Diceros bicornis minor: one gene and its partners. The protein of the gene in region 2 interacts with the protein of the main gene of each other region in a pairwise test. Links are inferred from orthologs where the notes say so. Each region holds a gene or a part of one and is shown on either strand. Other genes may lie near its edges.

What was found.
Region 1: the proteins of NUPR1 (region 2) and PTMA interact in binary tests that used the Homo sapiens proteins (3 or more experiments, as listed by UniProt). The link is inferred for Diceros bicornis minor from reciprocal best matches to the Homo sapiens genes NUPR1 and PTMA.
Region 3: the proteins of NUPR1 (region 2) and KNSTRN interact in a two-hybrid assay, tested with the Homo sapiens proteins (2 studies listed by BioGRID and IntAct). The link is inferred for Diceros bicornis minor from reciprocal best matches to the Homo sapiens genes NUPR1 and KNSTRN.

Annotation. Positions count from the first base shown.
Region 1 is NC_080776.1:20,082,644-20,090,498, reverse strand, and holds the start of PTMA (prothymosin alpha), read right to left. Parts: upstream 3,019-7,855; 5' UTR 2,847-3,018; coding exon 2,802-2,846; intron 31-2,801; coding exon 1-30.
Region 2 is NC_080765.1:22,008,471-22,015,601, reverse strand, and holds NUPR1 (nuclear protein 1), read right to left. Parts: upstream 2,771-7,131; 5' UTR 1,970-2,770; coding exon 1,855-1,969; intron 1,425-1,854; coding exon 1,288-1,424; 3' UTR 1,275-1,287; intron 939-1,274; 3' UTR 513-938; downstream 1-512. UniProt on the Homo sapiens protein: Transcription regulator that converts stress signals into a program of gene expression that empowers cells with resistance to the stress induced by a change in their microenvironment.
Region 3 is NC_080744.1:38,259,135-38,266,634, forward strand, and holds the start of KNSTRN (small kinetochore-associated protein), read left to right. Parts: upstream 1-4,482; coding exon 4,483-4,691; intron 4,692-4,872; coding exon 4,873-4,967; intron 4,968-7,500. UniProt on the Homo sapiens protein: Essential component of the mitotic spindle required for faithful chromosome segregation and progression into anaphase.

The DNA of each region.
Region 1 (7,855 bases), on a different chromosome or scaffold from region 2:
CTCCACAACTTCCTTCTTCTCCTTTAAGTCCTTCAAAAAAGCAAGAGTAAACCAGTAAGTCTTCTAAGTAACCCAGGGCTGGCAAAGAGGCCCAAAGGCTACAGGTGTACGTGCCGTGCTGACCTGGACAGCCACAGGTGAAAGAGCCGCACGTTACATATGGAACCGCTAGAAGGAGGGACCACAGCATACCGAGCACGACTATGGACAAGATTTCAGCCGATTTTTCAACCCTTAAAGCACACTAACATACTAAAAAGGGCCCACTACGTCTGGTCCCACTGCCCACATACTCATGCTTCTGAGGAAAGAAGCCATGTGGCAGCACAGTCCCAAACCCGTCTGGCCGGGCGGACGAGCCCGGGACACTTCACTCACACACCTATCACCGACTTGTTTCCAAGCACAGGAGCTCCGCCTCCCACAAATCCTTCTTGGAAGGCAGCACGTATACACCATAAATAAACCAAGTCATGTAGGGAGAACCCTGAAACCGCGGGAGAATTCCCGGGGGTGGACCAGCCTGGGAAGGGACTGGGCGGGAACGAACAGGCAGAGCTGGGGAGGCCGCCTCGCCCGCCAGTCCTCGCAGCCGAGCCCGAGTTCCTCGCCCACGGGCGCCCAAGACCCGGCAAGCGTAGGTCTCTGAAGAAACCGAGATCCTACCAATGTCCCATATCCGACAGCTGTCCCAGAAGGTCACAGATTGCTGCCTGGAAATGGGCGCCGGCGACGTGCGCCCAGGACCGCCCCATGTCCCTCCCGGCCTCTCGCCCGTCCCCGCGGTGACTCGGGGTAGCCATCGCACCGCACCTCGCGGCGCGCACACGGCCCGCGTTCCAAAGGGCAGAACCACCACGGCTGCTCCTAAGTTCCGTAACTTTTTCCACCCGGCGTGGCCGAGCCGGCCGCCAACACAAACAGGCGTCGAGCGGCCCGGGCGCGGGGGGCCGCCCGGCACCGTCCAGCGAGAGGCCGGGGGGCACCTGTCGGCCCTGTTCGCCCCGGCCGGCCAGCCCGCCGCAGACCCCAGCGCCGCCCGTTCCCGCCCCCTGGCGGCCGAAGCCCCGGGGAGCGGGTGGGGGCGGGGAGGTCGCGGCGCGCAGGCGCACAGCCCCCGCCCGGCGGGCTTTGCGCGCGGGCCTCGGCACGCACCGCGCGCGCGGAGCACGTGGCCCGGGGCCGCCGAGTGCGCCCCTGACCCTGGAGACCCGGGGCCCGCCGGCTTCGCGAGGCTCCGCCGAGCGCGCAGGTTGCGCGCCGGTCTTTCCGGGCCTCCCGCCGCCCCCCCCCCCCCGCGGGCCTAGATGCGCCAGCCTGCGGCTCTGCATTTGGCGGGCAAAGTCCCGCGGGAGGCCGCCCCGAAGTCCGCGGGGCTTTTTCAGCCCCGCAGTCGGAGACCGTCGGGGACGCGCTCCATGGGGCGATTTATTGCCCCTAGCGGAAAAACACCTTGGAGAAAAAGCGAACGTGGGCGCCTGCACATAAGAGGACCGATCGTCCTCCCCAAACTAGTTCCCGGGCTGGGCCCAGAGGGGGCCGGCGGGAGCCCCTGCGGCAAGGCAGATCGCAAGCTCCGCTCCGCCGGGGGAGTCGCCCCTGGGGGAAAACCAGAGGTGACGCCAGAAGCACCGAGGTTAAGGAGACGCCAAGGTGACTCGCGCCCGTCCCCGCAGGGACACGAGAGGATCGCGGACAAGAACCGAAGGATAAAAAAGCCGGTCCACTTCCAAGTGCCGCGCTCCCGCCGAGGGTGGAGACGCTCCCCGGGGCGAGCAGCGGAACCAAAGCGGCGCGCAGGAGAGGAGCTGCGCCAAACGCGCAGAATCTCAAAACCGAAGGCAATGAACCCGCAGCACCGAGCCCCGACAGGCCCCCGGCGCCCGGCTCGACCTCGCCACGGCCAGCCACGGCCACAGCTTTTGTTCGCCCGTGGCGCCCCCGAAGAGCCGCGCACACGGTGCTCCCGGGCAGCCGCGGGGGGCGCCCATCGTCGCCCCGGCGCGCCGCTCCTTCACTTTCCGTTTCCTCTCCTTCAGCGCGTGGGCTCGCCTCCTCCTCAGCCAAGCCCGGCATCGCTGGTGAACTACTGAAGCTGGGCGGCTGCTCCCGGCGCGCTCCCCCGGAGGACGCCCACCCCCGCCTCCCCGAGGGCACCCCGGGCGGAGAGAAGCTTCGCATCTCCGCGGAGACGATCGACGTCGCGGCCGGCCGGCCCGCCACCCCACTCCGCCTTATCGGAGCTTAGTCCAGATAAGCCTCCTCGGACCCACTGCAAGGCGCGAAACAGAGCGGCCCGGCGCGGAACAAAGAGCAGCGCCGCCGCCGGGCGCTCGCCGCGGAGCCGCCACTTCCCGCAGCCGGCCCGCGCCCGCACGCGCGCCCCCCCAACACTTCCGATTGCAAACGCGCTCGAGTTTCAAAGTTATTTCCGTGCGCCCCGCGGGCCGACGACCCCCAGCCCAGACCCTTTCCTCCCGCCGCTGCTCAGACCAGTCACAAACAAGTTTCGGGAGCCCTGGAGCAGCCTCCCCACGAGCCCCTCAGCCTCCGCGCCCGCCCCCCGGAGTCCCTGAGGGCGCCCGGCCCATTCCCCGACGGGCATCTCGTCTGGCGCTTCCCGCCCCCCCCCCCCGCACACACAAAGAGTGGGCTGCCTGGGGACCTAGGCCGGGGGCAGGTGGGCTCCCCGCGGGAAGGAGTAACAACGGGCTCGGAGCAGCCCAGCAACCACGCGCAAAACCCCGGTCCGGCGGCAGCGGCGCGCGGAGCCCGAAGGGGCGGGCGGCGTCCAGCCTCACCTTGGTGGTGATCTCGGAGCTGGTGTCCACGGCCGCGTCTGACATGATGGGGCACGCCGGTGATCCGATGCAGCGGATTAAAAAGAAAGCGAGAGTTCAAGGACTCTGGCGACAAAGCTGCCGGAGTCCGCGGCGGCGGAGGCGCGCGGCGGAGGCGGCTGCGGCGAGCGGGGAGCCGGACACGGGAACAATGCAAAGATGGCTTTTCAGAGCAGCCAGTGGGGAACTCACGCGGCGCCAGAACCTTTAATATAGATTTGTGGGCGGCGCTCGGCCTCCCTTGCCCGAATACTATTGGCTGAGCGCAGGGAGCGGGCGCTCGCTCATTGGCTCGATTCCGAACAATGGGCAAGCGTGCTTAAAGCGGCAGTGCCTTGGTGCGTCCCGCGCTGCGCAGTCGCCGGCCGCACTGTCATTCAAGGCCTGAGTTTGCCGGGTCTCCGCGGCGCCGACGCCGCGGGGGGAGGGGCGCGCGGGCGCGCTCAGGACGCTCGCTCCCGCTGCTGTTTTGCTGGGGCTGCTGACGCAGAAAGCCAAAGCGCGGCAAAGCTACCCGCCCAGTCCCCAGTCCTCCCCCTCCCCGCGACTGCTCGGAAGGAGGGGGAGGGAAGAGGAGGCGGCGGCCGGCGTTCGCGACGGCTGCCAGCGAGGGGGAGGGGAAGGCCCGGTGCTGGGCTGCGCTCGCCCCGGGCGGTGCCCTGCGCAGTGCCCGCGGAGATGCCCGCCCCCGGCGCCTGGGCACCTTCGACCGAGAGTGGTCCCAGTGCAAGTGGGCGGAAACCCCAAAGACGGGCGATCAGGGTGCGAGGCCGAGAGCCGCGTACTTGGGCCGCCCCGTCCTACCACGTCCAGCCCCGGGCGCCCGGAGTCCCTGGGTAGGGGACCCCGTCGCCCACCATCAGCCCAGGCCTCCGCCGCCTGAGCCAGCCGACGAGCGGGCTCCGTGCCAAGCACACACACTCGGGGATTCGTGCATCGAGGGGGCGCGAGGGCCGGAGCGGGCTCCTGCCCTCGAGCAGGACTCCTAGCTCGCGGGCGTCGCACCACACAGCGGTCCTGAACTACAGGGTTCTGGACAGCGCCTGCCCCAAGCGGTCGGTGACTGCCGTCGCGACAGCCTCAGGGAGCCTCTCTCCAGGTCCCGGCCATCGAATCTGCCCCGCTCCCACCCCACTTAAGGGGCTGCGAGGGGCACACGAACTTATACATTGCGGGGTTATTGGGGGGAAATAACCGTCTCTGAGACCAGCTGGGCTAGTCCTTGGGGGCTCCTTGAAGTTCAGGGCGCCATTTGGGGAACCACGCGGAGCCCCGAGAAGGGAACCATCCTAACGCCACACTCAAGATGGCGTTGGGCTCGGCAAGCGTGGCGTGACGCGGCGATCCGACCTACGCAGGCGATCCGAAAACCGTAGGTTACACCCTCCTTATCGCCACTGCACTCGGCTCTCGAACTAAGAAACCAGCTGTGTGGGAGGAAAAATTGGAAAAGGTGGAAAGATGTTCCAGAAAAATATCTGTGCCACACACAAGATGGCGACGGATACGGTTCATTCCTGCGTTGCCAGCAGGGGGCGCCCGACACGGAAGGCGGGACTTCGGAGAAACGAGCGCACATTGGCTGAGAGTGGCGGGCGAACACAAAGTTGACGCTTTGCGTCCTGCCATTGGCAGATTCCGCTGTCTGTCTCTTGGGGCCGCCGATCTGGGAACGGAGAAAACCCGGAGTCTGGGATCGTGGAGGGGGAACGGGTGCCAAGTCCATTAAAGCTTGAAATCAGAAGAGAACGGAGAGACTGAGTCGCCCTTCTTGGTTTTCCTAGGTTAGGGGCCCCCCATTCCCACCGCGAGACTCCCCTTTCCTGTGGGTACCACGCACTCGCCTGGCTGCCTCCCCAGGACCGGGCTCCGCTGCCCGGCCGGGAGGAGGCACGAGTGCCGGGGCGCCACCCGGGTCTGGGCCCCCTCCTGCTGTCCCTGTCCTGTACGCGTCAGGCTCGCATCCCTGTTCCCATCTGACAGTCTGGCCGCTGGCATGTAGGACTTCCCCGAACGAGTTGTCCTTTGGGCAGAGAGAAGCCCGAGGTCCCTGTCCTTTGGCCTGGAGGAACATGGGGCACATACGGGACAGAGCGGGGGCACCGCACCACTTCCCTCTGCCCGGCGGTCGCCATCCCGTGCCGGTTACGCGGCGGCGGAGGAGGCGTCCGCCAGGTCTCCGCCCTGCCCCAAGGCGCCCCAATGGCTGGAGGTGGGATTCTCCCGAGGGTGGGCGCGAGCCGATCCAAGGGACTGACAATGGTGTCCCCAAGGACCACGCGTCCCAACTCTTTGTTCGGCCTCCTCCCTCCCGCCGCCGCTGCCTTTACTGCTCCGCGGACCTGGGGCCGCCCTTCGCCCCAGAGGAGGAGGGGACTTCTTGCCCCCCGCCGCCGCGACCCCCCTCCTTTGTGCCACATTCTCCGAGAGGTGGAGGGATTTGCGACATCATAAATGGGGCAGGAGAGCGCCTTCTACCTGCGGCGCATCCGTTAAGCTCTGGTTATCCTCGAGGGGATTGTTAGTCCACAAAACCCGGATGTAGCGGCGAGAGCCTGGTCTGTGCCACATCTAGGCGATTGAGTCGTCTTCCCTGTCTGGATGGTGGCCTTAGGTAGTTGTCTCTGTCCACAGCTGAAAACTATACGTGACTATTCTGGATTCTGGCCATTGGGGTGGGGGGGCAGGGGCAAACATGGGGGAGGAGCTAGGTGAAAGTGAGTTTCCCTCGAGGAACTGCTTTGCCTGACCCTGTCCCCGTGCAGCTGGCTTTGCTAGAAGTGGATAAGGAAGGGGCTCACATCCACCTGGTTCTGGAACCAGCATTCACATCTGCCTAGCCTCACTGAGTGCCTGCTGCATATGTGGCAGTGAGACTCTGGCTCATACGTCAAGCATTTTCGTTTATTTGCTGCACCTTGCAAGGTAGGCCGGACAATTATAGGGTTGAATCGTATGAAAATTGGTGTTTTTGTAGGTCAAAACCAAAAAAATTTGGTTAAAAATCAGCAAATTTATAGGTTCAACCTCTAATATTTTATCACTCTCCTTTTAACAAGTCAAAAAAGCAGACCAAGGGATTATGGCAAGGGACTTGCAGTAACCAAGTAACTCAGTGACCAGGCTGGGGCTAAAATCCTAGGATGGAGGAATCTGCGTTGTTAGATGAGCCCTGGAGCAGAAGTGGCCTCCTTGAACCTCCTCCTTGCCCTCAGAGTGTGGCATTTGATGGCTCAGCTCGTAACTGGTGGAGTTATTTAGGCTACCAAGAGCCTCATTCCCCCAGTGACAGGCAACTCCCCACCTCTTTGCTGTTTCTGAACAGGCTGTTTTTCCTGGCCCCTGTTAACTTCCACTCATTGAGGCATTTTTGCCCTTTGCTGTTTCTGAGGCCTTTCAAACCCACCCCAGACAAGCTGGTAGGCCCAGGAAGGCAGCATTTCTTGGCCCCGGTCTGTTTACAGCCCGAAGTGCACTGGTCTAAGCCAGGGGCCCCAAATGGCCTCCGGGCAAGTTTTGTTTTTAGGGAATTTGCATATGGACATGGCGTGGGCTGTCTACACACTTTCCAGTTGGACCACAGGCCTCTCCCTGCCAGTCCTGAGTCACATGTTTATTTCACCTGCTGAGCCCTGTAGGCACTTAAGTTTTCAACCCTTGCAGCTAAGCCGTTTCCACCGTATTCCTAACTGGTTGTCTTAAATTCTGCTTGATTCCCAAAAGACCAGAAAGACTATAAATGCTGGTAAAGCTGCCTGGCTTCAAGTTCCAGCCCTGCCACACACTAGCTATGTGAAATTAGGTGAGTTACTTCCTCACTCTAAAAAATGGAGACCACAGTAATAGTACCTACCTTCCAGGATTATAGTGGGAACTGAACGAGTTAATTTTTAGAAAGTGCTTAAAATAGTGTCTGGCACATCCGGGAAAACCATCCATGTTCCCGGGACCCCCCTTTCCAGTTGCCATCTGTACCTAAGTGGGTCACACTGTTTGCAGGACTCTGGACAAAGGAACGATGTCTTCAGCAAATTCATCCCATGTTCAGTGGGAAATGAGGGCACTGGCCTAGCTGAGTTTCTGGAAGCCTATGATTCCATGCCCAACATGCTTGGCAGCCCCTCTGGCCTCAGAGGAATGACAGAGTCTGGGCGGCAGCCTGAGTAGAGCAGGCCTCAAAAAATCCCGCCCTTCAGAAACCCAGGAGTTTCAGGCTGTGGTTTCCTGGCCCAGGCGTAAGGGCCTGGGGAGCTGCCAGGGGCCTTTCAACTCTCCCGCCCTGCCGACCGGACGGGATTGTGTAAGAGCCATCCCCCAACATGCCTGCTCCCTTGTGCAGCACGCCTGGGCCTGCCCATTCTCCTGGGGAGCTGTGCCAGAGGCCCTGGTACCACACAGGTCTGGCTGCCCCGAGAGGCTCCTGCCTGGTGGGGAGAGGGGGGGAGCATCTCTTGATGTTCCGGGCATGCCCCCAAACTGATGCCCTGGTTGGAGACGAGCTCAGGAGGCTGGGGGAGGTGTATGTGCTGTGTACACGGCCATCACTGCTTCCTGAGCACACTCGTGCCGTGATGCCAGTTCTGGGCTCCTCGTGCACGTGCCCCCTGCAATGTCTCCAGGAATCTTCTGCCTGCCCGCGCCATTTCCCAGCCCCTCATCCCTGCATGCATCTGTGTGTGCGCACCTATTTGCATAGCTCGAGCTCCGTGGGTGTTTTGCTTAAGCTCTGGTTACTGTTTGTGAGTGTGTGGGCCCAGCATCACGGTGGCAGGTGAAAGTGCTGTGGGGGGAGCACGTGTGCAGACACATTCCCAGTCACCCTGCCTGGGAATGCCTTCGAGAGCATTGCCCCCAAGGAAAGGGGGTATGTGGCTGGTATGTGACCATGAGGAGGCATTTAACTGGGCACCTCCACACCTGCCCCTTCCTGCCATCCGGCCCCACATGGGAACCCAGCAAGACAGGAACCTCGAGTGGCCCCCACTGAGGGTCTGTGTGCCCTGAGCCAGGCCAGA
Region 2 (7,131 bases):
TACAGCAGCCAAATCTGTATCTCAATCAATATATCTTCTTAGCTTCAATCACATCTCTTTTTTGCCCCATGTTCTTCTCCAACTGTGATCCCAAGACTGATAACACTAAGTAAGAACTTCCTCCTCTCGCTGACCTCCCATAATCCTGTTCGGGCAGCTCCCCGGGCAAAGGGACCCCCCTCACACTTGAGCACTCTAAGAATCCTTGAAGTTGAGCCCTGGGTAACTTGAGCCAAGTCCCTTAATGTGTTAAATCTCAGTTTTCTCCATTTTGCAGGTGGCGCCAAGAAATAACATTCACTTCAAAAGGCAATGTTATATGAATACGACATCGTCAACAAGATTGTTCTTCCGAAAATGGAGAGGAGCTGGGGAGGGGGCTTTTTTCATGGGCAGCATTACAAAGAAACAGAGGAAATCCCGCTGCACCCCAAAAGAGACCACAGAAATGTATGCACCAAAACACACGCATACCAAAAAAAAATGCATGCTCACCTCTAGGTGCCCTACAAAATCAGGAACCGCCCCTCCCAGACACATAACCAAACACAAACACTAACAAGAAATGCTCTCACTGGCTCATGCAAATGCAGACACATGCGGGCAGAAACAGAGAGAGAGGACAAAAACCACACACAGGCTGCAGCTGCTGAATTTTGTTTATTGTCGCTGCCACCCTAGGGAGCTCCCGGGTCTTCAGCGTCTTTCTTTTTGGGGGTACCTTCATGACTCTGCCTCTCTATCCCCTGCCTCTTGCTCCCCATCTTGTCCTTTTTCTGGGGCTGGGGGCGCTTCCTTGGTGGCCCCTTGGAGCCTCAGTCAGGTGGGGTAAGTCCTGGGGGTGGGGCGGAGGGCAAGCAGGCCTGGATCCGGCCCCCAGGTGCTGATTCTTCCGAAGTCCTTTCTCCATTGCTGTGGTGTCCGTGCTCTGGCCTCATCTGGGGGAAGGAAAGCAGGTGACCAAAGGCGTAGAGGCCTGGGTTCTGACTCTGCCTCTCCCGCTCACTTGCTGTGTGACTCCAGAGAAGGAGCCTACCCTATCTGGGCCTCAGTTTTCCTCTCTGTAAACCAAATTTCCCTCTAATTGGAAAGGGTCTATGTTTCCCCTTTGCTCTGGTCACTAACAAACTCAGAGTCGAATGTATGTTTCATTTTACTCTATGTGGAAACAACAGTCCCTTGACCCCTTCTCCCCACCCAACCAGCACATTCAAGCTTGTCCCTTTCAAGGCACAGGGACCTCTGCTGTTGCTTTGGGACCCCCGACTCCCTACCTCCAGCTCTGTCTCAGGGCCGTGCCCCTCGCTTTTTTCGCTCGGTATTCTGGAGCTTGGTCACCAGCTTCCTCTCATGCCCACCAGGGCTGGGGCGGTTGGTGTGGGCAGCAGCTTCTCTCTTGGTGCGACCTTTCCGGCCTCCCACTCCTGGGAACCGAGGCAAGAGGCCAAGGTGAGGTGGGCAGAGGCATGATGCCTCAAAGGAGAGGCAGGGGGTTGGGACTTGGGGGGAAAGAGCTTGGGCTGGAGTAGGGAGACTGGGGGGTTGTCACCATAGCTTTGGGGGCAGCCGTAACCCCTGTTCCCCATCTGTGGAAGAAGGGGCCGCTGGAATGAGCTGTTGTTGCTCCAGTATTCTAGAAGTGTATGAGGCCCCAGGCTGAATAGGACAGCACTCAGTGGAGGAGGGGTTAGCAGGGGGTGATGCGAGGGATAAAGGAACAGGTTGGCTGGATAAGGGTGAAGGGTGGGGAGAAGCCCAAGGAGGGGACCTCGTTTGGGGGTGGGGGCGTCAGGCTGTTTGTGGGGGATGGGGATCAGAGTAGAAGAACCAGGAAGGTGGCAGGCCAGGCCTTACGCAGGTAAGAATGAGCCAGGCTGTAGAGGTCGTACTCATCCAAGCTGGGGTCTTCGTCCTCCGGGTCTGGGGGCTGCCGGGATGGGCTGGCTGCTTTCGGGAAGGTGGCCATCATGTCTGGCTTACTCTTGCTGTCTGTCTCTCGTCTTCTAAAGCTTTGTTTGTGTCTGGTTTCCTGACACCTCCCAGTTCACTGGCCCCAACTTATAAGGCCACGTCTCCTCCTCAGCCCACAGTCTGGCTCCAGCCCCTCAGGCCCTGTCTGATGCAATCAGGCCCTTTCCCAGAACCCGGCCCAGTAAACACCAGTCACGAGAGGGAAAAAGAGTCGTCCCGTGAGTCCCAGCCCCCCTTCCCTCCTCCTCTCACCGGGGCTCGCCCAGCTGGGTATTTTTCCACAGAGGAGATCCCCGCCCCTCAGCGGGGAGGAGGAGAGGCAGGGTCTGGGCATAAACAGTTCTGAAGATCAGGGCCAGCAGGGAACTGAGGGCCTCACTTGGCCAACTCCTTGCTGTCTGTCTCCTGCCCTCTGCAACGTGCCCCTCCTGGGCTTGGGCTCATGGCCACACAGCTGACCCCCACCCCCACCCCAATTGTGGCTCAGATTCAGGACCATGGTGGCAGAATACGGAGTGAAAAGGGAGAGGGAGAGGATATCAACACTCTATGTGCTCTGTCAGTGGTTCTCACCCCTGGGACACCCAACCCCCTCTTTTATAAGAAACATCTGGAAAGCCCCCTTAATATCCTGAACTGGGTCCCTAGGTAATTTCCTCACCTGAGAGAGAGGCTAGCAGAGTGGTTACGAGTGCAGATGCTGGAGCCAGATGCCCTGGGTTCAAACCCCTGATCCACTACTGCCTGTGTGATCCTAGGCAAGTCACCTTCCACCGCTGAGCCTCAGTTTTCTCCTCTGTAAAAACGAGGATGATAAAATTGTATCTACCTCATAGGGCCGGTGAGAGGATCAAATGAGGTAATCGTGCCTGGCCCAGCATAAGTTGCACTATGTAAGAGTTAGTCACACAGTTTCCAAACAACTCCATATAACACCCTCACTGTAATGGAAAGGAGACATAGAAGGAAATTAATTTATAATGAAATAAAATGTATTTCAAAACATGGATAGACTGAGGTAGAAAACATTATGAAGTGAATAGGTGTTTGTACCTATTTAATATGAATTAAAGGGAGGGGTTCAGATAAGAAACATGTGAAAGTAGAATTTTCCACTCTTGCCTAAGGATCTGACCCAGAGAGGCCACACCCTCGGGTGCCCACTCCTGCTTGAGCTCAGCTTGTCGTGCACCAGCCCCCGGCCCCGGCTGTCCAGATCAGGGAAGGAGGCAGACACAATAGTTCACTTTCTTATTCTTTTTTTTGGTGAGGAAGATTGTCCCTGAGCTAACGCCTGTGCCCATCTTCCTCCATTTTGTACGTGGGATGCCACCACAGCATGGCCTGTTGAGCAGTACATCGGGCTGCGCCTGGGATTCGAACCTGCGAACCTGGGCTGCCGAAGCGGAGCGCACGAACTTAACCACTATGCCACTGGGCCGGCCCCACTTTCTTTTTCTTTTTTTTTTTTTACTCTGTGGTTCCAGCACAACAGGACCTGCTCAGTGTTAATTCTCTGTTCACACTGCGACTTTGCTGTGAGCCTTTTGAAACGTGTTCCATCTCAGTGTTACCTAAACCCCATCCTTCTCCAAACCCTATAATAACCCAGTCTTGTCTTCTGTTGAACAAGAAGCAGCACTTCTGCTTGTGTTCTTCTCTAGCCTGAGCCAGAATTAAATTTAGCTTTTGTTTTCCAGATTTGGGTGATATGTGAGTTCTTTAATACCCAGTAAATGAAAGTGAAGACAGGAGGGTAGTCGAATAAGAACAGCTGGGATAATAATGACAGACCAGATGACAAGAGAAAGAGGAAAGTCACCTTAACTTAAAGATAACACACGGGGCCGGCCCGGTGGCGCAAGCGGTTAAGTGAGCACGCTCCGCTGCGGCGGCCCGGGATTTGCCGGTTCTGATCCCAGGTGCGCACTGATGCAGTGCTTGGCAAGCCATGCTGTGGCGGTGTCCCATATAAAGTGGAGGAAGATGGGCACGGATGTTAGCCCAGGGCCAGTCTTCCTCAGCAAAAAAAAAAAAAAAAGGAGGATTGGCAGATGTTAGCACAGGGCTGATCTCACAAAAAAAAGAAAGATAACGCACCACAACAAATTAAGGTGGAGAAATACAGTGTTATTGCAAAGTAGTGGGCTTTATCACTACGTGTAAAAGTAGCAAAATAATTTCCTCTATCATGACGTGGGAGAGGGTAGGTTCTAGGCTCAGCTCATTGTAAATAAGTTTTTTAGCTTCATGAACATTTAGCAGGACAGTCAAATGTCATGTAGGACATGAGGCAATTCTGTGTGCCACTGTCCTGCTCCCCCTCCCTGTCATTGTGACAACCAAGAACACTCCCACAAATTCCCGAGCTGCCCCCTAGGGGGCGGACTTTGACTCATTCACCTCTGCCACTAGGACCCCCGTTTACCGGCTGCGAGATCTTGGGCTCGCTTCTGAGTTTCCGTCTGCTCATCTGTAAAGGGAAGATGGTGACAGTACCCGATGTGTGAAAGGGCTTTGTCCAGAGCCCAGCATGTGGTGTACTATTTCCCCTATTCTTCAAAGAAGGAAAACTGAGGCTCAGAGAGCGACCAAGATCACACAGCTGGTGTGAGAAGGATTCCTCCCACGGTCTACCTGACCCTGGTTCCAGGGCTCGTACTGTCTGCACAGCTGGCAAACACTGGCAAAGGCTGGGTAGCTCTGTGTGTGGAAGCACCTCTCAGAGAGTTGTCCCTCCCTCCCTGCCTCCTTGTCCCCTCCTTCCTTCCTCCCAAACAGTGAGTGCCTGCTTTGGACCAGGCAGGGTGCTGAGGACACACAGAACTACACACAGTGGCGCCCTCTGGACGCTCTGCGCAATGCAGGAGGCAGATCATGAGCAGATGAGCGCACATCCCTATCCAAAATACCGTACATTCCCCCAGTTATTCTTTACCCCTTTACCCTGACGTTATTTTACTTTCTCTATAGCATTTAGTTATCACTAGTCAAAGTGTCTTTTTTATTTGTTCACGTCTCCATGATTTGTCCCCACTAGAAGGCCATCATTGGTTTGGTTTAGTTAGTGGTTAAAGGAGGAGGCTCTGCAGCCGGACTGCTTGGTTCTACTGCTTGTTAGTTGAGTGCCCTGAGACAAGCTATTTAGCCTCTCTGTGCCTCAGTTTCCTCATTTGTAAAATGAGATTAATAATAGTACCTAGTGGGATTGTTGTGAGGATTAAAAGACCAATTCTTGGGGCCGGCCTGGTGGTGCAGCGGTTAAGTTCATGCATTCCTCTTCGGTGGCCTGGAGTTCGCCAGTTTGGATCCTGTGTGCGGACCTACTCACTGCTCGTCAAGCCATGCTGAGGTGGCGTCCCATATAGAAGAGCTACAACTCTACAGCTATGATACACAGCTATGTACTGGGGCTTTGGGGAGACAAAAGAAAAAAAAAGAGGAGGGTTGGCATCGGATGTTAGCTCTGGGCTAATCCTCCTCACCAAAAAAAAAAAAAAAAGATTAAAAAAAACCCAATTCTTATAAAGGCTCAGCACGGTGCCTAGAACAGAATAAGTTTCAATAAATGTTAGCTATTATTATTATTATCATTATTCATGAGGGCAGGAATCTCGTGTGTCTTATCATTATTATTTCCCCCATGGCTGGCACACAGTGAGCACTCAATAAATGCCTAGTTGAATACATGAAGCTATGCTAAGATCGGCACTGCTTTTTCAGCTTCCAGATGCTCTGCTCTTAGGGAACTGAGGGGCCCAATCCTGCTCCCGCAGAGGACTGTGAAGACACCGTGACCATCGTCCGTGGAGCCGGGGAAGGAGGTCTCCCTGGCCTTGAGTGTGCAGGTGCTGGAAGGATAAAGCCTAGACCTTGGGGGCAGGAGTGGGCAGAGGGAGGGTGGCCAAGAGAGAAGGGACTTTTGGGAACCCATTGGCATGGACCTGTTGGGCCCAAAAGGTGACTCAATGGGAAAAGTCAAGGTGTGTTTTCCCAGTCTCTAGTCTCCAGGTGTGTGTATAATCAGCCACAAGTAAGTTTATTTTCTCGCTGCTTATGACTACACCTTCGTGACATTCCAGGAGATTGCCAGGCACACCGATTACAAGCCAGCGTGGTCAGTCTGGAGTAAACACAGGGGCTGGGGGAGCTCTCAGGAGGGTACCTAACCCAGCATGGGGGTGTGTGTGTGTGTGTGTGTGTGTGTGTGTGTGTGTGTGTGTGTGTAGGGGCTGGGCAGAGGATCAGGGCAGACTTCCCGGAGGTGGTGAATCTGAACAAGAATAACTGTGAGAAAGACAGCAAGACAAGCCCAACTCCAGGAGTTAAACCATCCAAGTCAGGAAAGCCTGGATAGCCTGAGGGATGTGCAGAAGTCTTTGGCTCAAAGGATCAGGAGCTTCCCAGGCAGGATATGTAATCAGGAGGGATTGGCGACATTGCTGTATGCCAAGGGGACTCAAGAATCCTAAATGAGGTGAAACAGGATGTGTCTGCATGACCTCATAGCCCCATGCGGAGAAACCCTCGAACCTGGCAGCTGTTTGCCGTTCTTCTTGGCTGTCTGACTTCATCCCCTTGAATATAAATGCATGCAGTCTTTTCATGGGTGATTTGGCAACATTGACAAGAATGTTAAATGCACATACTCCCTGATATTGCAGTTCTACTTACAAGAATCTCCTACAGAAATGCTCCCAGGCTTGTTTGTAGCAGTGAAAAACAGAAACGACCTAAGTGTCCTTCAATACGTGACTGATCAGCACCCTTCTGTGAAATGTTCTGTGGCCATTAGAAAGAACAAGCTATGTCTCTAGCTCTGATGAGAAAGTTGTCCATAATAAATAGTGGAATGAAAAGCAGGTTGCAGAACATTATGTATACTATAATCCTAATTTTTGCACTAAATTTATTGAAATAATATAGAAAACTGTAATACATTGTTTTCAGCATAATATAGGTGTCACACATTTCTCCTGGTAACTAAAGAAGATAGATGGCCAGATAAAACAATAGTAGAAGGATCTAGAATAATAAATTCTATTACTGGAAGTCTCCCTAGAGATCAGCAAACCCAACTCCATTTAATGGATGAGGAAGTAAGGACCAGAGAGGTAGCATTCTCCACTCTACACATGTTTAGGGCACTAACCACATGCC
Region 3 (7,500 bases), on a different chromosome or scaffold from region 2:
GGCATCAAGTCCCTAACTTACCTATCTCTGCTCCTGCCTGCTTCTCTCCCCATCCCTTCTATTAAAATGAAGGAAGCAGTAATGGCTCCATCAATGGCTTCACACACTTTGCATCAGAGGCTTTCAAACTAGGGCTTGCATTCCCACAGGAACATGAACACTTTCTAGAAGGTAGGTGGATACAGATAATTTTAAGGGAATCAATTTCCAGAGCTTCCTCCTTCATATGGTCCATCTCCTCGTATTGATCAGCCTAAGAAGGAGCCTTAGGTCAGCCAGTTCTCCTTCCTGACCTCCACTTTCCCAGTTGACCCCCTCCTTCATTCTGAATCCTATTCTGGCGCCTCACTCTGCAGTATAAAAAAACAATAAAAGAACTACTTGAGAATGCTCTGCTTGAGGAAGTCCTTGAGACAGCAAAGCCTAGAGAGCTTTTATGAGAAGTTGCAAAGGGGCAGCCCTGTAGCTCAGTTCTGTGCCTTTTCCATTTAAGAATTCAAATTCAAAAGTAAGAGGTTGATACAGGATAATAACCTGTATAATAACCACACTTATTTGAATTGAAAAACAAAATCATACTTTTTCTGATGGAAAGTCAATCTGATTTGGCTGATGGGTTTGACAGGACTAGCTTTGCAAATAGGATATATGGTGGACATTTTCCCAGAATGGAATAATTTAAATCTGCGGCTCCATGGTTTGAAGAAAAATACATTTATTTTATTTTATTATTTTTTCCCCCAAAGCCCCATTAGATAGTCGTATGTCATAGTTGCACAGCCTTCTAGTTGCTGTATGTGGGACGCGGCCTCAGCATGGCCAGAGAAGCGATGCCTCAGTGCAAACCTGGGATCCGAACCCGGGCCGCCAGCAGTGGAGCGCGTGCTCTTAACTGCTAAGCCATGGGGCCGGCCTGAAAAATACATTTAATATACACATACAACTTCCCCTTCCAGCCAAGATGGAGTAGTAGGAACGAGATTTATCTTCTTTCCTGAAACAACCAACCCAACAGAAAAAAATATATGAGACAACAGTTTTCAACACTGGACATCAGACAACAAAGGACGGTGATCTCTTCTGGACAAGAAACAAATGAGATGAGCCTTGTGACAGCCCCAGCTTACTGCTTGAGAGAGTTTCTAGGACATACTACAGGGAGGCAGAACCCAGGCAGGGCCATGCAGACTCCCCGAGCTGAGGAGATAGCTCAGAGTCTGGGGCAACCAAGGTAGCTAGAGTGGTCAGGACAGAATACTGACTGAGAGGAGAAAGGTGCACAGAGAGAGAATTCTAGAGATCTGCAAATGGCCCCCCTGGAGTATTCAGCAGAGCACTGCTCAGCATATAAGTGTGAGGAAACTACTTGAGACCAAGGAAGGAACTACCCAAAATGACTAGAGGGAACAGTAGCCAGTAGTCACCTAGGGCTGGAACAGTGCCAGTTCCCATCAGCCACACTGGAGAACCTGATAATTTATGGAGCATTGGTTAGAGTTCTCAGAAGGAGCTTGCCTCTGTAGTGGGAACTCATTAGCCCTAGTTTAAACACTGCTGGCTCCCACGTAACAAATCTCAAAAGCAAGACCTGAAAAGATGAAACTGTTCCTAAGTATTGTAACTGCATCCCAGAACAAACCTCAAGAACATTTACAGGAATGCAAAAATAACCAGCGCCCAAAAATGTAAAAAATTCACAATGTCTGGGGTCTAATAAAAAAATTACCTGTCATGCAAAGAAGCAGAAAAATATGACCCATAGTGAGGAGGAAAATCAATTGACACCAACCCAGAACTGATACCTATGTGAGAATTAGCAAGCAAGGACATCAAAACAGTTATCATAATTGTATTCCATATGTTCACATAGCTAAGTAGAGACTTGGAAGATATAAAAAAAAAAAAACAAAATTGAACTTGTGAATGAAAACTAAAATGTCTGAGATGAAAAATCACTGGATGGAATTAACAACAGTTTAGACACTACAGAAAAAAAAGATTAGTGAACTTGAACTTGAGCTAGCAATAGAAATTATCCAAAATGAAACACTAAAAGAAAAAAGAATTTTAGAAACAAAGAGCATGAACAACATATAATAGGTAGAAGGTATGTCCTTTACAAATATTTAAAATTGAAAAAATTTAGGGGGCCGGCCCCGTGGCTTAGCGGTTAAGTGCGCACGCTCCGCTACTGGTGGCCCGGGGTTCGGATCCCGGGCGTGCACCAAGGCACCGCTTCTCCGGCCATGCTGAGGTGGCGTCCCACATACAGCAACTAGAAGGATGTGCAACGATGACATACAAGTATCTACTGGGGCTTTGGGGAAAAAGAAAAAATTTAGGCATCAACTAAAAATAGGTAAGATGATTGTTTTTTTAAGTTATTTTGTGGAGGTACATGAATAAGAGTTTGAAGTTGCTGCTCTAGATCCCGTCTTCCTTTCTCCTTTCTCTATGACTTTGCTCCTGTGATCATCCCATCTCCCCATGAAATATCCTTTTCTTCCTCTCAGCATATGTACCAACTAGTATCTGCATCTTCAAGAAAACCCTTCTTTGACTGCCACAACCCACCTCCAGTTACCACCCAACTACTCTACTCCATTCACAAACTCTGTCTTCACTTGCCATCTCTGCTGCCTCATCTCTCCTGTACTCTGTGACCTGTACTACCGTGATTCCACTCAAACCTCTCCACCAGAATTCCTCTTCCTGTACTCACCAATGACTTCTTTGTTGTTAAATTAAATAGATCCTTTATAGTTCTGATCTTGCTTGCCCTTTCAGTTATTTTCAATAGTTTACCACTCCCTCCTTCAGCAGTTTACGACTTCCTCCTTCTTAGCTTCTAGGATACCACCCATTTTTTTTTCTTCTCACCTCTCTGGCACCTCTTTATCAGGTTTCTTGGCTGGCACCTTCTTATCATTGCAGCTTCTACATGCTGCTCTCCCTGTCCTTGGCCCTAAGGCTCTCTGTACACTTCTTCCTTTGATGATCTCATTCAATATCGCAGCTTTAAATACATCCATATACTCATGACTCCCAAGAGAATATCTCCCACCTAGACTCACCTCTGGGCTCAAAGACTATATTTCCAGCTGCCTACTTGACAGCTCCACTTGAATATCTCAGAGGCATTTCAAGCTTACCATGTTCAAAACTGAACTCTCAATCTCCCCCCAAGACAAAATAGTGACTCTATCCACACAATTATTCAAGCCTGGGAGTCGTCCTTAAGATCACCCTCTCCCTTACCCCTTTACCCCCCACATCCAATCTAGCACTGGGTCCTGAGATTCTACCTCCAAAAGCTGTCTTAAATTTGTCTGCTTCTCTACATCTCCACTACTACCATCATGGCCAAACCACCATCATCTTTCACTTGAATGGTTACAGTGACCTCCCAACTGTCTCCCTTGTGCCACTCTTGCCCCCCTTCAATCCATTCTCCATGGAGTAGCCAGAGTGAGATTTTTAAAATATAAATTGAATAACACTGTCCTGCTCTAATACTTCAGTGACTTCCCATTACTCTTAAGATAAAATCTAATCTCTTTACTTTTGGCCTACAAAGGCTGCCATTTGATTTCTTCCAACTTTATCTAGACCACTCCTCCCATCTTTCAGTCCCTTCTAGGAAAAAAGCCCATTCCTACCTTGGGACTTTGCATTTCTCCCCCCTCCCCCATTGTTCATCCGATTAACTTCCACTCGTTCTTCATTAATCAATCATCATCTCAGATGTCTTCCCTGACTCCCCAATTTAAATTAGGTTTCCCTGCTTTTCTCTCTCACAGCACATTGTAGTTTTCCTTCAGAGTTTTACTACTGTTGGTAGATACATATTTATTCGGGATTTTTTCCCAGCTTAACTGAGATGTAATTGACAAGTTCGTGTGATTATTTTCCTAGACTGTAAATTCCAGGAGGGCAGACCCAAGGTCAGTCTTGATATTTGCTGCCTCGCCCACCATAAGCCCTCTTCGAGTAGTGCTCAATAGGTGCTCAATAAATATTTGCTGAGTGAAATGAATGAGTGCATTAAGTGCTTGAGAACTCTGCACTGCTGAGAACTCTGTTCGCTAGGAGTAGCTTTGAATCTCTGCTTAAAATCTAGATAAGAGTTATTAAAGTCAGGACTGCAGGTAGGTACCTCAGGTATTTCCGCCCACAGGCCCTCTTCAAACCCCACCTGCCACTCTCCACCCTGTAACATGTAGTTTCCTCCATCCAAATACCCTATGCTCCTGGAAATCAGGCATCATGCAATGTACCTAACAATCACAGACCAAATAAAGAGAAGGATTGTGACATGGATCTAAACGTGACCACGAGTGCGTCCCAAGCCCGAAATATGACGCCGGGGGCTCATAGCTCCATTCAGGCCGGCAAAGTGCACAACTCCCCTCCCCCGCCCAAAGCTGGGGGCTCGGACACCCATCGTCAAGAAGCTCCGGCTCGCTCGGCTGCTCGTACAGCATGGCAGCCCCCAAAGGCGTGGCCCACGGCAGTGCCTGCAGTACAAGATGGCCGCCTACAGGGTACGCACCGCACCCCCTTCCGCCCGGCCACCGGAAGTTTCTATTTGAAACCCAGGCGGCAGACCCGGCCGGCGGAGCGGCAGTTGCTGCAGAGCATCTTCCGAACCAGAGCGACGAGGGCTGCAGGCAGGAGCAGCAGGCGCCTGGGTTCGGCTCTCCCGGGGCGAGGGACTGAGCTGGGTGTGGGGGTCGGACGAGGTGGGCTGGGAATGGAGGATTTTCTCTCTCTCTCGAGTCCTCCCCGGAGTCGGGGCGCGCTCTCCCTGGGCCCTCCACCTGCCCGGACCCCTTGGCCCACCCTGGGTAACATTCACCTTGCACCTTCCAGGGCCCAGCCGTGCCGCCTCGTTACGATGACCAGCGTGGTTAAGACAGTGTACACCCTGCAGCCCCCCTCTGTGCTGAGCGGCGGCCTGCCGGCAGGTGGGTATCCACGCCGCCCTCCTCGGGCACTGGGGACCAGCCTGGGGCGGTCAGGCCGGGAATGGGGGGCGCGGGCAGAGGGAGGGCATTTCATCGGCTCTGACAACCCTCTAACTCCCCTAGAAGCGGGCTGTCTAGGTGTACGATGGGAGTTAGGGGAAGGGCCATGTGGTAGGATTTTAGACCTGCCCTGCACCCCTCCTCCCCCAAACCTAACCGTGCTGGATTCACCAATTAGATTTCGCTTGCTGATTCTTCTACAGTATTATTCCCATTAAGCTAGGAATCCCTTTTTAAACAGTTACCCCTTTTATTTCAAGACTTGGGCTATCTGGAGGGACTGGGTTTGTTGTCAGGGAGAAGAGAGGAGAGTCATTTGAGAAGGGGATACTAAGGGGGAAGCGCTAGGCTTCACACTGTGTGGTTCACATTTGATATGCACAGTGTCTCTTCTATAGTACATTCTCAGTAAATGTTGGTAGAGTGAAGTGAGAGAGAGGGGTCAGGCCTAGCTAGAGTATTCCAGAACCTTGGGAGAAGAGACATGATTAAAAAACATTTTTGATGGCTTTGCCATCTTGCTTTGTGTTACTTGGCTTGTGGTTGAAAGTCATCTCTTAGGGCCTTCAGTTGTGGAGCTGCCTAATCTAGAGATTATAGCACAGAATAAACTTCAAACATCAGAGCCTGTTGTGGGAGATTTTGAAGCAGCTATATAAGATCCCTTCCCAGGTGACTCCACGCAGCTGGTTGATGAGCAGGAGCAGGATTGGTCTGTAAAGTAAATAGACTTTTCTCCGAAGCCTTCAGGGGTTGTTCTGTTTGTCTTCTGTTGCCTCAGAGAACACCTGAATGGTAATCCTGGCCTCCAAGTTGCTGGGGGAATTGCATCCATGTCTCCTTCCACTGCCTTTCCCTCCGAGAGCAGTGCCCCTCTGTCAGGGGGGTATGACTGATGACTGGCTCTCCCCAGCCAAGTCGGAAGTTTTCGTCTCTTTGCTCTCTATCCCTGTCTTAGAGTTATGATAATATGTAACCTCAGTGGTTTGACATTCTTAGGCTGTATCCCAGGTTTTTTATTTTGATTTTGAGCATGGGTTAGTTGTTTTTAAGTTTTAGTTTTTTGACTAACATATGCACATTTAAAAAAAAATCCAAAGTTAGAAAATGATATGCAGGGAAAAACAAGTCTCCTGCCTTCCTTGACACCAGGCATCCAATTCCCCTCCCTAGGGTCTCTTTTTTTTTTCTTTTGGTGAGGAAGACTGGCCCTAAGCTAACATCTGTGCCAGTCTTCCTCTGTTTTGTATGTGGGATGTGGCCACAGCATAGGTTGATGAGCAGTGTGTAGATCTGCGCCTGGGATCCTGGCCCCGCGAACCCTGTGCTGCCAAAGCAAAGCGTGCGAACTTAACCACTACACCACTGGGCTGGCCCCTGCATTTCTCATTTTAAGAAGACGGGGCCAGCCCTGTGGCTTAGTGGTTAAGTTCCCATCCTCCGCTTCGGCAGCCCGGGGTTCGCCGGTTCGGGTCCCAGGCATGGACCTACGCACCACTTATCAAGCCGTGCTGTGGCGGCCTCCCACATAAAGTAAACGAAGAACGAGGATGGGCACTGATGTGAGCTCAGGGCCACTCTTCCTCAGCAAAAACAGGGGGATTGGCAGTGGATGTTAGCTCAGGGCTAATCTTCCTCACAAACACATGCAAAAAAAAAGACAGTGTTTGTTAAATTCTGCTAAATTTTTCCTACAATGCAGTCTTTAAGTTCTAGCAAATATGGATTATTGGAACCAACTTCGATCAATGAAGAGTGTTAATTTTGATCAATTTTCTATTAACTCCTTTTTACATGGGGTAGATTTGTTATTGTGTATAACTTATTAATACTTGAGAGAGGAGAAGGTACATGCATTCCCCTAAGGTTACCTTTTGCTTCAGACAGAGACCTCAAAAAGAACCCTTTTAATATTTGCTTTGTGGGTAAGAGTATGGAAAATAGGGAGCAAGTGCCTGGTGAGTATACCTATAAATGAAATAATTTGTTAGCCTGAGAAATCATATTTATTCCAAACTGTCATGCAGCTAGAGTCATCAAAATTAAATCTTTATCAAATACAAAATTTCCTAATCCCTGTGATCCAGTGCTTTGGACCTCATTTCTTCAACCTGATTTAATTGTTAGGGCTTAATTGTGTGGCTCTTAGGTCAAGCTTAAACAAGCCATTTTACAATGAACAAGGTGAAAGCATCAACTAGAAAAGCGCATGGGTGTGGTGTGGTATGTGTAGTGGAGGGCTGGTGTAAGGGCTAGAGGGAAAATGCTCACCTCTGAGGAAGAGGAGTTTCATGGCAGGGCCATTTCTCTGGTTATCTGGCAATAGCCTAGCAGGAAGATCAGAACAGAGTGCCAAATAGGGAACCTTGAATAAACAAATTAAAAGGGCTGGTGGAAAGGTGATCAGCATGGAAAGGGGTAAGAAGACTAGAAGAGCTAGTTTAGAGATGGTCTGTGAAATAATCCATGGAGG